Coturnix japonica: one gene and its partners. The protein of the gene in region 2 purifies or fractionates together with the protein of the main gene of each other region. This does not show direct contact. Links are inferred from orthologs where the notes say so. Each region holds a gene or a part of one and is shown on either strand. Other genes may lie near its edges.

Evidence for each region. Proteins that work in one complex are often made in the same cells at the same time.
Region 1: the proteins of CUL1 (region 2) and FBXO9 purify together in Homo sapiens (affinity purification with mass spectrometry; 4 studies listed by BioGRID and IntAct, with this or other methods). This does not show direct contact. The link is inferred for Coturnix japonica from reciprocal best matches to the Homo sapiens genes CUL1 and FBXO9.
Region 3: the proteins of CUL1 (region 2) and FBXL8 purify together in Homo sapiens (affinity purification with mass spectrometry; 5 studies listed by BioGRID and IntAct, with this or other methods). This does not show direct contact. The link is inferred for Coturnix japonica from reciprocal best matches to the Homo sapiens genes CUL1 and FBXL8.

What each region holds. Positions count from the first base shown.
Region 1 is NC_029518.1:80,659,118-80,662,863, reverse strand, and holds the start of FBXO9 (F-box only protein 9), read left to right. Parts: upstream 1-1,366; 5' UTR 1,367-1,670; coding exon 1,671-1,673; intron 1,674-3,746.
Region 2 is NC_029517.1:75,356,259-75,360,004, forward strand, and holds the start of CUL1 (cullin-1), read left to right. Parts: upstream 1-1,547; 5' UTR 1,548-1,688; intron 1,689-1,694; exon of another isoform or gene 1,695-1,955; intron 1,956-3,746. UniProt on the Homo sapiens protein: Core component of multiple cullin-RING-based SCF (SKP1-CUL1-F-box protein) E3 ubiquitin-protein ligase complexes, which mediate the ubiquitination of proteins involved in cell cycle progression, signal transduction and transcription.
Region 3 is NC_029526.1:235,497-239,242, reverse strand, and holds the start of FBXL8 (F-box/LRR-repeat protein 8), read left to right. Parts: upstream 1-1,115; 5' UTR 1,116-1,116; coding exon of another isoform or gene 1,117-1,469; exon of another isoform or gene 1,470-1,471; coding exon of another isoform or gene 1,472-1,646; exon of another isoform or gene 1,647-1,676; intron 1,677-1,741; exon of another isoform or gene 1,742-1,842; intron 1,843-2,463; 5' UTR 2,464-2,530; coding exon 2,531-2,694; intron 2,695-3,230; coding exon 3,231-3,746. UniProt on the Homo sapiens protein: Substrate-recognition component of the SCF (SKP1-CUL1-F-box protein)-type E3 ubiquitin ligase complex.

The DNA of each region.
Region 1 (3,746 bases), on a different chromosome or scaffold from region 2:
TACTTTACCTGTTAAACCGAATAATAATGTAAAAGAACCCTAAAAAGCAAGCGTTAGACTCCCACAGATGTGCATGACACTGAAGCCAGCTGGAGCTGCGCGTACTTATTTAACAGAATCACAGAATGACCGGGGTTGGAAGGGACCTCAAGGATCATGTAGTTCCAACCCCCCTGCCTGGCAGGGCCACCAAACATACCCACCTTTACTAGATCAGGTTGCCCAGGGCCCCGTCCAACCTGGTCTTGAACACCTCCAAGGACGGGGCATCCACAACCTCCCTGGGCAGCCTGTTCCAGGGCCTAACCACTCTCCTAGTGAAGAACTTCCCCCTAACATCCAACCTAAATCTTCCTTCTTTTAACTTAAAACCATTTCCCCTAGTCCTGCTGGAGACATCCCTACGCCATCCCACAACACACGCATGCAGCCCAGTGACAGGGCTTCGCTCCTCAATGAGATGCTCCCAGGCAGAACAGCCCGGACGCCCTTTAGCACAAAGCCACCACAAAATGGGCTGTACGCGTCTTCCTCACCACACCACCTCAACACCTCAACACGATTCAGTGCCTCCTGCCCGCAGTCACGCCGTGTATCCGAGCAGCTCGCCCCGCCGCCCCACAACACAAGCGCTGGCACTACGCCTGGCGGCCCTGGGGCGGCTCTCTCCTCCAGGCCCGGCGGCTGAAGCCCGGCCCGCAGCGGCCGCCACGTCCCCGCCGGCTGCAGCGGCTCCATCCCCGAGCAACCGGGCACCTCCTCCGCTCCTAAAAACACTCAGCGCGGCGGGCACGGATAAGGGCGAGGAGGCCATGAGTTAAGACACATACGTGTGTGATTTCCTCCAGAAAAAAAGCGTTACACTGAGTGGCCTGAATTCTATTTAGAGAACCAGCTGGAGCAGCAGGGCGGCACGGGGAAATCTTGTCACTGAGCTAGATGGGCACGGAGCCGTGATGGGCTCAGCGCCGTGATGATGGGCTCAGAGCCGTGATGGGCTCAGCGCCGTGATGATGGGCAGGCAGCCGTGCCTTCAGCCGCCACGCAGCGCCAGCCCCGCCAGCTCTCATCCCTAACAGCCGCCCGGCCGCCCCGCCCGGCACGGGCCGCCCCGCATTGCCCCGCGGTACTCACTCATGGCACGGCAGCGGCTCCTCGCTCTGCCGGCACCGCCGCGCTCCGTGTCGGGGCGAGGCCCGCAGCCCAGCACGGCGTGCCGGAACTGGCGCCATCCAGCGGAGACGGAGCCTCCCCCGGGATGGCCGCCCGAGCGGGACTACGGCTCCCGGCAGCCTCCGCTCCTCAAGACCGGGTCGGTGGGAGCGGCCGCCCGCAGGATCGCGCTGCCCAGCGGGGCCGAGCAGGGGGGCGTGGTGCGCGCAGCGGGGCGGGGGTCCGTGCCCGCGGCTGGTGTCGGCCCGCACCGCACGTCGGGCGGCGCTCTGGCCCCGCGGGTTCGTGTGTTGAGCCGTGTCCGCCGCTCGCGCTCCGCCTGCCCCTCACTCGCAGGGAAGATGGCTGCCGTACGCCGGGCCCGCAGTTACTCCCGCTGCGTGGTGCGCTTCTCCGACCGAGAACTCTGCTAATCTGCCCCGCGGGGACGACGCGCGGGCCGAGCAGGGGGGACCGAGGGCCCCGGGACGGGACGGCGCCTGCCGAGCGCCGGCAGCATGGTGAGCTCCCCCCTCCCGCAGGGCCCGGCCCGGCCCGGCCCGGTGCCGTTGGGTGCTGGCCCGCCCGGCTGAGCCCACGGCCGCGCCGCCCGGAGCTGCGCTGCTTTCCCCGTCCTGCCCTCGAGGCTCCTTGTTTGTGGGTTAGTTTGATTCGGTGCCGCCCTTCTGACAGAACCTCTGCGTGAGTTCGGGTGTCTGAGATCGCAGCCTCATCCCTCGAGGTCGCTCGGATCCCATTGGTATCGTTCGGGAGCTCTTAAACTCCGTACCGCTGTGTCTGAAACTTCTCTGAACACAGCGTTGATTCTGCAACATAGAGGGAAAAAAATGAGTTACATCCTCGTTCCCTTACAAGCCATCTAGCCGTCAGACCTGTTTTGCAGTGTCATCTGTGGGATGGACGCCTACAGATGCCGTGCAGCCAGCGTTGAGCTGCTTCTGATCGCTGCTTTACTTTGCTGGAGCGAGGATCTGAAATACTGAGTCCTTAGGAAGTGGCTGTGGAGCTCTGAGGAAAGCAGCGTGCAATTACTGCCTGCAAGAGTTAATACTGACTGCAAGAGTTAATACTGACCTGTGTGAATAAGCTGCTCTTGTGTTTTGCAAGTGTTTTCTAAAGCTTTGCAAACAAATTGGAATCGAACAGGCTCAGCTGACTTCTTTTTAGGTAGCTGTCTGGCTCAGACGGTCGCTGCTTCCACGTTGACCTTTTGGTTGCTTGATTTGCTACTGCTTTTCTCATGGAAAAATCACTTGAGCTGATCAGCCCGGGGTGAGGATGGCTCACCTTTTAAGCTGGATAGAGTTGCTCCCTGTTAGATGTGACAGCTGACAGGTTGCAGAAGGAAGGATGGTAACAGAAAGATGAGCAGGATGGATTTTTAACTAAGTAGCTACAGTGCAGTATTCTGTGGACTTAAGGAGCTGGAACTGTAGCTTGTGTTTTGTCAGGAGGGGCAGGAGGAGCCAAGTTTTACATGCCTTACATACGGTCTCAAATGCTGCCTGTGTGTGGTGATGCTTTAGCAGCACCTGAGTGTTTATATTCATTTGTATTAGCAAAACCACAGGGGTTTTGCAGGTCAAGTAAATAGCAGAGAGGTTGTTAGTAGAAACCAGTTAACCATGCAATAGAAATGAGGGCTAATTACTGGTAAATGTGGAAAAATTGTTTATTGTACTGCCTACAGACAAACCTTTTGTATGTGACTTCAGCTCACATGTAACCTCAGCATAGAGAAAGTAAAGGTGCAAGTCAGATTTTGGTTACAAAGAGCTTTGTCATGCTCAAAGCTGTTGGGCTTTGCTGTAGGACTCTGTAGCATGTTGTATTTTATGTTTGGGTTTAGAGCGCACTGAAGTGTTGAAGAGCATTTAGTGATAATTGGAAGCAGTTGGTGCAGAACTACGACAGGTCTTTGACTGCAGTGGAAGAGACGTAGGTTGGCTGGAGTAGAAACAACGGGAAGGAAGGCAGGACTCCTGAATGGGTGCTGAAACAAAGTCTGTGAGTGCGAGGTGGACTTCAGCCAGCTTCAAAACTTGAATAATCCCGATTCCTACCACAACTTGGCTTCAAATTTATTTGCAGACTTTACAGGTTAAAGCTTTTAGTAGTGGGTGCGCCTTTATGCACAGGATGATAGCGTGTTGATTTGGTTTAGAAATAGCTCTACCGGTCTCTGCATTTTGCAGATAAAACCAGCCCAGGGTAAGAGCTGACTGGGCACAGCTCAGCTGCATGCCAGAAGCCTTATATCTGCCCTCTGTGCAGGCAGAAGTAGGCCTTCCTTGTGTCACCACTGTGCTGCAATAGTGCCCTTACCAGACGTTGATTACAGAGCTAACGTGTTATCCAGCTGTCTCTGTCCAGCGTAGATGTAATCCTTCGTGCTGCGGTTCTGTTGCAACAGGACAGCTGTAACTGCTACAGCATGAGCTGCCTGCAGTCTAATTGTAAGTTACTTACTGCTGGCTCAGTTGTATCTCTTCTGGTGCTTTGGAAGGTTGCTGTTTACCTGTTTCCTCCTCTGAAAAATCTTTGGTGTTAGGGTTTGTTTATTTTTGACGGTG
Region 2 (3,746 bases):
GAAGGGAGGTTGTAGTGAGCTGGGGGTCGGCCTCTTCTCTTATGTCATTAGTGATAGGACCAGAGGGAATGGTTTCAAGCTGCAGCGGGGGAGATTCAGGCTGGACATTAGGAAATATTACTTCTCAGAAAGGGTGTTCAGGCACTGGAATAGACTGCCCAGGAAGGTGGTGGTGTCACCAACCCTGTGGGTGCTCAAGGAACGACTGGATGTTGTGTTGAGGGACATGGTTTAGTGAGAGCTATTGGTTATAGGTGAATGGTTGGACTGGATGATCTTTTAGGTGTTTTCCAACCTTGGCGATTCTATGATTCTAAGGCCAGTTTTTGAAAATGGTGTGAAGCTGCTGGAGCCAGCATGCAAGTGAAACATTTTGGAGAACAAAGAAATCTTTTGTTTCTCTCTGTTGCTTCCCCATTTCTCTCTTCATAAGGAGCTAGTGCTCCTTATGGGCAGAATTCTTCATAAAAAACTTTTCTGGGCAGAATTCTTCATAAAAAACTTTTTTAATGATTCCATGCAAGTTGCTTTAAGTATCTTTTGGTATAATTCAGACCAGCATTTGACTTCATCTTGGCAAGGAAAGTCCCCATAGTTTGGGAGGATACAGTACAGAGAGCCATGATGAAGCAAAATACAGAGGATACATTAATCCCACCCTCCTCCTTTACATCACAGTACCATGAATGTTTATTCCTGAGGACTGCGGAATTATAAGGCAGGACAGAGTCCAAAGCATTACTTTTCCAAAACCTTGATTTCAATAACTTGGCTTAATTTTGGCATGATTTTGCATTATCCATCCCATGCTTTTGAAAATTAACTGCCCCTCTTGTAATCCATGTGACAATGATACAAAAACTAGCAGTTTTTATTTTATCTTGCATTAAATTCATATACATTTGTTCAAAGATCACAAACATCATTATTTAGTTCATGATCTATTTCTCTATCAGACCTTCAAGCATCTCCCCGTCAGCTCACAAACTGAATGATTAAACTTTTCTTTCAAAGAATTTCTACCCTATTCTCTCCGCAATGTTGTTTTCTGAGTTGTTTTTTTGTTTTTCATGAAATTCACAATAACATTACAATTTCTAATTATATTTAGGTCATTGTGACCATTTCTCTTTAACTGCCATTTTTCAATTCAGTGTTTACTCGAAACTAGTGACTCTTGATGCCGTTCAGATGAGAGCAGTTTAATTTGGTAATGTCAGATGGGGATTTTCTTCAGTGTTCATTGTAACTTTAACACTGGATACCACGTAATTCAGTGGCCTAGGACAAGCTAAGAATTAGTATCTAATAAATAAAAAAGCATTTGCGATTTCATCATGAGCAGATACAAGTCTTAGCATTTCAGACTGGAAAATGAGTGCACCTGATGGCTCTAGAAGCGGCCTAACTCTGGGGGGCCAAGCAGGATGACCCTTTAGGGCAGTAAAACGTACAGGCCAGAAGACTCGGACCATCAACGCGACCCTGTTGAACGACTGCGCCGTTGTCATTTCCGGCTGCACACACACCTGCCTTTGTCATTTCCGCCGGGGCAGCCGGAGAAGGCAGGCTTGTGGAGAGCAGCACAACCAAAGGGCAACTCCTCCCCGCGCGGGCGCCGTGGCTGCCGGTTATTTTTAGTTCCGGACTCGAGGCTCAAACTACGCTGATCTCTTCCGGTGGCTTAGGTGGGGAGAGGTTCTGCTGCGCTGTCTTTGCTAGCCCTTTGCCCGCCTTTAGGGAGAGGAGAGGAGGCGGCAGCGGGCTGGGTAGACTTCGCGTCTACCCACGGGTTGGGTCCTCTCCACGCCGTGGGTCGCTCCGAGCCAAGCTAAGGGGGGCGGTGCCTTCTCGCTTTCTGAGCCGTGCTGAGGGGAGGCGGTGGCGGATCTGGGCTCGGCGGTAGCGGAAGGGGCGGGCGGACGCGGCCTGACTCTGCGGGACGTGCGATACTGGTGAGTGCGGGAGGCCGCGGTGCTGTGTCGCAGCCAGGCCAGCAACGCAGCCGGGCCGGGTGGGGAAGCTCAGCTGGGCCAAGGCGACAAGGGCTTAACGAAGCGTGGCCCGGCTTTGAGTCATACAGCGAGGAGCGCGGGAGCAGGAGGGGCTGGGCCTGGCCGACCTGCCCGCCCGCCTTTCTTCTACCGGGCGTACACCGCGTTCCAGAGACAGCGGGAGTCGTTGTCTGACGGGTTCGGAGCTCCGGCCTCGAAGTTGCGGGCCGGTGCGGGAGGCCTCTAACTACGCACTGGAATTACATCACCCCGCCGGACCGCGAGGGCCCGCGCTGCCGGCAACCCTCGCCTCACAGATCTGCCTGTTGTCTGCCCTGCCCGCTCCCCTATCGAGGTCGGCCCGACCTCCCTCCCGCCTCCCAGCCCTTCCCGGCACGTGGCCTGGACCGCCACGGTCGTTGCTTTAGACTTACATCTCTCAGATCCTGACCCTTCGGGCCCTTCTTTCCAGAGCCCTACACCTCTTCTGCCTTCTCACTGGCCCTAGGACTGTATGCCCAGGCCGTGTTCATTCTAGGCCTCATCTATTCTATCCTGAGGCCTCTGGAGCTTTTCCCGTAGCTTGTCTCATCACCAGTGTTAGTTTTTTGTCTGTCTTCACTTCTCTTTTCTCCTTTATTCTTCACGTGGTTACCTTTCATTCTGTTGTTTCCATCTCAAAACTAGTAGCACTCAGATCTATATAGGACCCGTGTGGTTGTAGCCAAATTTCTCTTGTGTACCCACCCAACCCCTTACTGTCATCTCTAAAGTATTTATTTCCATTGTTGTTATCTTCCTCAGCTTTATCAAGGACTGTGCCCCAGGTTTTCCCTTGTAGCTCCCTAATGTTGTGTTCCCAGGGAGAGTTTCCCAACCCTCCTCCCTTTCTCACCCCTCTCTCCCCCCCCAAATAACCTCTTACCTGTTTGTTTGTTCATGTATTTATTGCCGCCATCCAGATGGCAAGTCTTGCAGTTGTTTGTCATTGCAGCTAATCACCTCCTTTGTCTCCCAGTAACTTTGTCTGCCACTGAAAGCTGTGTCCTTATTGTGATCCTTTTCCAATCCTTATTTCCTTTTCAGCCCTATTTCTTAATCATCACCATTCCCTTATCACCTTTCCTGTTTCAGCTTTCTTCCTCCCATATTTCCTTCACCGTGATTTTTTTTTTTCCCCTTCCCTTTTGATCTTACTTTCTTGTCTTAAAAATCTTCTTTGTCATCTCACCTCTTTTTCCTTTGGCATATTCCTTTCCTTTCTAGGCTCACTTGCTGTCCCCTGCACTTTAAGTCCTCCAGCTGTGCCTTTGACAAGAGAGGAATGTGAGCTTAATTCATCTTCAAGAGTTAGGCGATTATAGATTATTTACTTGTTTCACCTTACTTTGTTTTCATTTGTTTGTTACTGACTTCCTTAATAGCCTTTTGTCAATAAATGCTTTCATATATCATCACTTTAATACATACCTAATGCAATGCTAGTCTAGAAAAAAAAAATCCGTCTTAGGACCATCCTCTTAGTCCTGCCAAATGGTTTTCATGGGGAGCAGAAATAACTGGTGGCTGTGTAACTTAAATTATGCTAAATACCGTTCGTTATGCTGAATTGTTGTAATACTTTAAGTTGGTACTTATGAGATACAGGGTGTGTTAAGAATACATTTGCTTTGAGGAATTAGTAAAGTACGTCTTCAGTACCATGGTACATGGTTTTTGCTCCAGATATGCTGGTAGTGAGCTGCTGCAGTA
Region 3 (3,746 bases), on a different chromosome or scaffold from region 2:
CCTTTACAGCACAAAGGTGTATCAGATCATTCTGACCTCATCTGCAGCACCAGTAACCCCAGTGGCCACAGTAAAGCCCTTGCTCTCTGTTTATGAAGCTGTTGGGAAGCATGCATGTGCTCCAGAGAATCCAAACCTGCCAACCCAACAAAGCAATCTATGGTGCAAGGCCTCAAAAGTCCTGAGAACTATAGCACAGCATGAGAAGAGATGCACAGAGGTTGATGCAAATAATAACCACAGCAGGATCCCATGAAGGAACCACACAATGCACACTGCAGAGCTGCTGGCACACAGAGCACAGCCTTATAGGCCTCTCACACAGGCTGGGCTTCTCTTCATCAGCGTCAGTCAGGGACTCATAGCCTGCTCCTAATAAAGCAGAGCAGGCTTTGCAGCCATGCAGGGCCCAGTAGAGCTGCCTTTAGCCTAGTGCTGTCGCTTTGGACTTTGACCAGTCCTGAGGCCATAGATATTGGAAGGGGGATGGAATCAGTCTGGGCAGACAAACCCTTTGTTGTGGTTCAGTGGCCATGTAGGACACTCCTGGCCCTGCACCAGTCAGCTCTGATTATTGCAGCCACACGCTTGGGGATACCTCTCTATTTTAGGTCCTAGCTCCTTTATGATTCCTCTCCCTTATATGACAGTGTGTCCATCTCTCCATTCTCACTCTGCCTGTGCCCCACTAGCCAGCTGATACTGGCTATGGGATGGTATGAGTTCAGAGGGATCCCAAAGGCCGTCTGCTCGCACTGAACAGGGACACCCACAGCTCCATCAGTGCTCACAGCCCCATTCCCTGACCTTGGCTGTGTGCAGGGATGGGGCAGCACCAGCTCTGTGTGCAGCCTGTGCCACTGCCTCACCGCCCTGACTGTAAAGAACCTCTAACTTAGCTCCGGTCTTAAACTCCCCTCTGTTAGTTTGAAGCCATTTCCCCTCGTCGTGTGACAACAGACCCCACTAAACAGCCTGACCCTCTTTCTTACATCCCCTTTACACACGAACCACCGCCCCCGCATCCCGCAGGGCCCGTCCCTGGGCACACTGGTGGCCGCCCCGAGCCGCCGGGGTAGTGGGGAGGGAGCAGGGGGGGCTCGGGGCGGCCCTTACCTCCCGCCGCCGCCGCCCGGCCTCGGCGCTGCCGCTTCCGCCTCTGCGCGGCTGCGACGGACGCAGGGAGGCACCGCCCGCGAGGGGTGAGCGGGGAACCCCCGGTGTGCGGCGGGCGGTGCGATGTGCTGCGGTTCGGCAGCGCTCAGTCCGCCGTGCTCATGGCAGGGGGATGGAGCGCAGCGCGGGGTGGGGGCTGCCTGAAAACAGCGCTGCGCTGTCAGAGGAAACGACGGCACCCAGCGGTCTCCCAGGAAGGAAGCGGGTCTGAGTTCTCCGGCCGCTGTCGCTCGTCGCTGGGGGGAAGCGCTGCTGTCGTTGCGACGATGGCAGATACGATAGCGGCTGTGCTGAAAGAATGAGTCACACTTCGCAGCGGAGAATACTTGAAAAAACGCGGCCTTCTGTTCCTCTCTGGGTTGTACTTGTTGCGTCGCAGCTCTCCAGCAGTCAGGCAGATCTGAGGGGTGAAGTAATGCCGTGACTGAGGGCTGCCTCGGGGGTTCAGGCGGCTGTGGGACGCGGCCCATCTCCCAGTGCTGCTCCAAGAAGGGCAGTGCTTGCAGGCTGCACAGCTCTGCCAGTACAAATCCTGCTCCTGCTCATGATAGGGACTGAAAAACTGCCTCGCATTGGTGCTTTTATCTGGTGCTTTTATTTAAGCAAAACAGTCTAGAAAAGTGGATGAAAAATATCACATTTAGATGTTATTGATCTTTGTCCAAGGTGTTTATACCTCACATATAAGATCAATCAAATTGTGCTTTTTAAGTCTTGTGTAAATGGGGCTTATAACAAGTAGGTTAACAGTAATAAAACATTTCTGTCCAGCTGCCAAGCCTTGTTACAGGCAAGGGTCACTGTGATGGAGCTGCCCCGATCTGCTCTGAGCCTTTTGTTTCACAATGGGTACAGAAACGGGTGTGTGGGGCTGTTTGCTGTGTAGAGCTTCTGCTTGCAAAGAGGTTTTGTTTTTCCCCCTCAGTTTGAGAAATCTCTCTCAGCTCTTTGCATCGCGGTGCAGCAGCACTAGAAAATTCTCATGCATTTTTTAATACTTAGAGTAGCAAAGCCCTTGCTGCGGGAAAATGCACTTCCTTCCCCCCCAAAGCCTTGATCTGACATCTTTAGTACTTTATTTTCTAGCTTCATAGGCCTGGTTGGAAATTGTGTGCAAACCTTTGGCCAGTGGATTTCCTCTGTTTTTGTGCTGAATCTCAAAATGTGGTGAAGTTTCAAGTTTAAAATAGTGCTGGCCCCATCTGTGATCCAGTTGCATTGGATTTACTTTGTACACAGATGCTAAATATCTCTTCTCTTATTCATTTATTTATTTTATTTTAACAGGGTTGTTTGAGAATTCACTGCAGTTTTTGAAGTGTCTCCAGTTTCTGAAGCTGACTGCATCAGCACTATGCTTGCTTCAGCCCCTGACCTGTGGAGCTGCGTCCCAGAGGAAATCCTCATCCAAATTTTCTACTATCTTTCTCTTCGAGATAGATACACGGCCTTCCAGGTGTGCAAGCAGTGGGCTGGGGCTGTTTCCTCCAGTTCTGTTTGGCACTTCACAGAGATCAGGTATGAGGAATGGGCTTCTGAAGTGTGAGCATCTTTGCAGGCCTATCAAGAGCATTACGTATCAGTGCATGCTGAAGATTTACAGTGTTGTGCTGTGACAACTAATTGATGTTAGTTGTGATTTGTGTGTGTTGCGTGTTGCTACATTTTGTGACTAGAATTTCTTTATATAATAGAGAAAATGGTGTTATGCAATGTGGGGTTTTATATTAACTGCTGGTGATGGTTTGGGTGCCACGGGAAGTATTACATTCTCAGGTAAGTTTCTTCAAGTTGAAAACAGCAGGAGACAAAGTTATTGAATAGTCATCCTGATGGTGGCACTAACCTCACTGCTGGTCTTTCTGGAGTCTGACTCCTCTCTCCCCCTCATTCCATCGGCATTTGGCCTTACAGTGACTTGCCTGGCATCCAGTAAGAAGAAATGTGTGGTATTTGCTGTTGGTATTTTCCAGAACACAGTAAAGGAGGGAAGCTGCTCTGTGTTTGCTCAGTTTACCTTCCACAGTGACTGACCTTCTGTTTTGCCCTTCCAGCTGTGACTCAGAGGATGAGGAGGGCATGCTGCAGAGCCTGTGCCAGTTCCTCAGCCAAATCAAACACCTGAAGATCAGGTTTGACCAATCCAAAGAGGTCAACCGCAGGAACGTGACACGCATCTTAGATATGCTGGCAAAGCAGAACCACAAGCTGCAGCAGCTGTGCATTGCGTGCCACGGGGAGAACCCCTATTTCTACTCTGGCCAGGACATCCTGCGGAGCATACGGAATATGTGCAACATGAACAACCAGGTAGATCTTCAGCATGTTGATTTTCGAAACATGCCCTTTACTCTCGATGGGCAGCTTGTTGAACTCCTGGCTACCACCAACCCAAACCTGCAAAGCTTGTTCATCAACAACCGCACTCTGGTGTGCAATGTGGCACCAGACACCATTAGGAAAGTTCTCAGTGTGTGTCCCAAACTCTCAGCTTTGGGGGTTTACTATGCCAGCTTGTCCAGTGATGTATTTCTGGAGCTGCTCAAGCCAGAAAGAGCAGCTTTCACCCA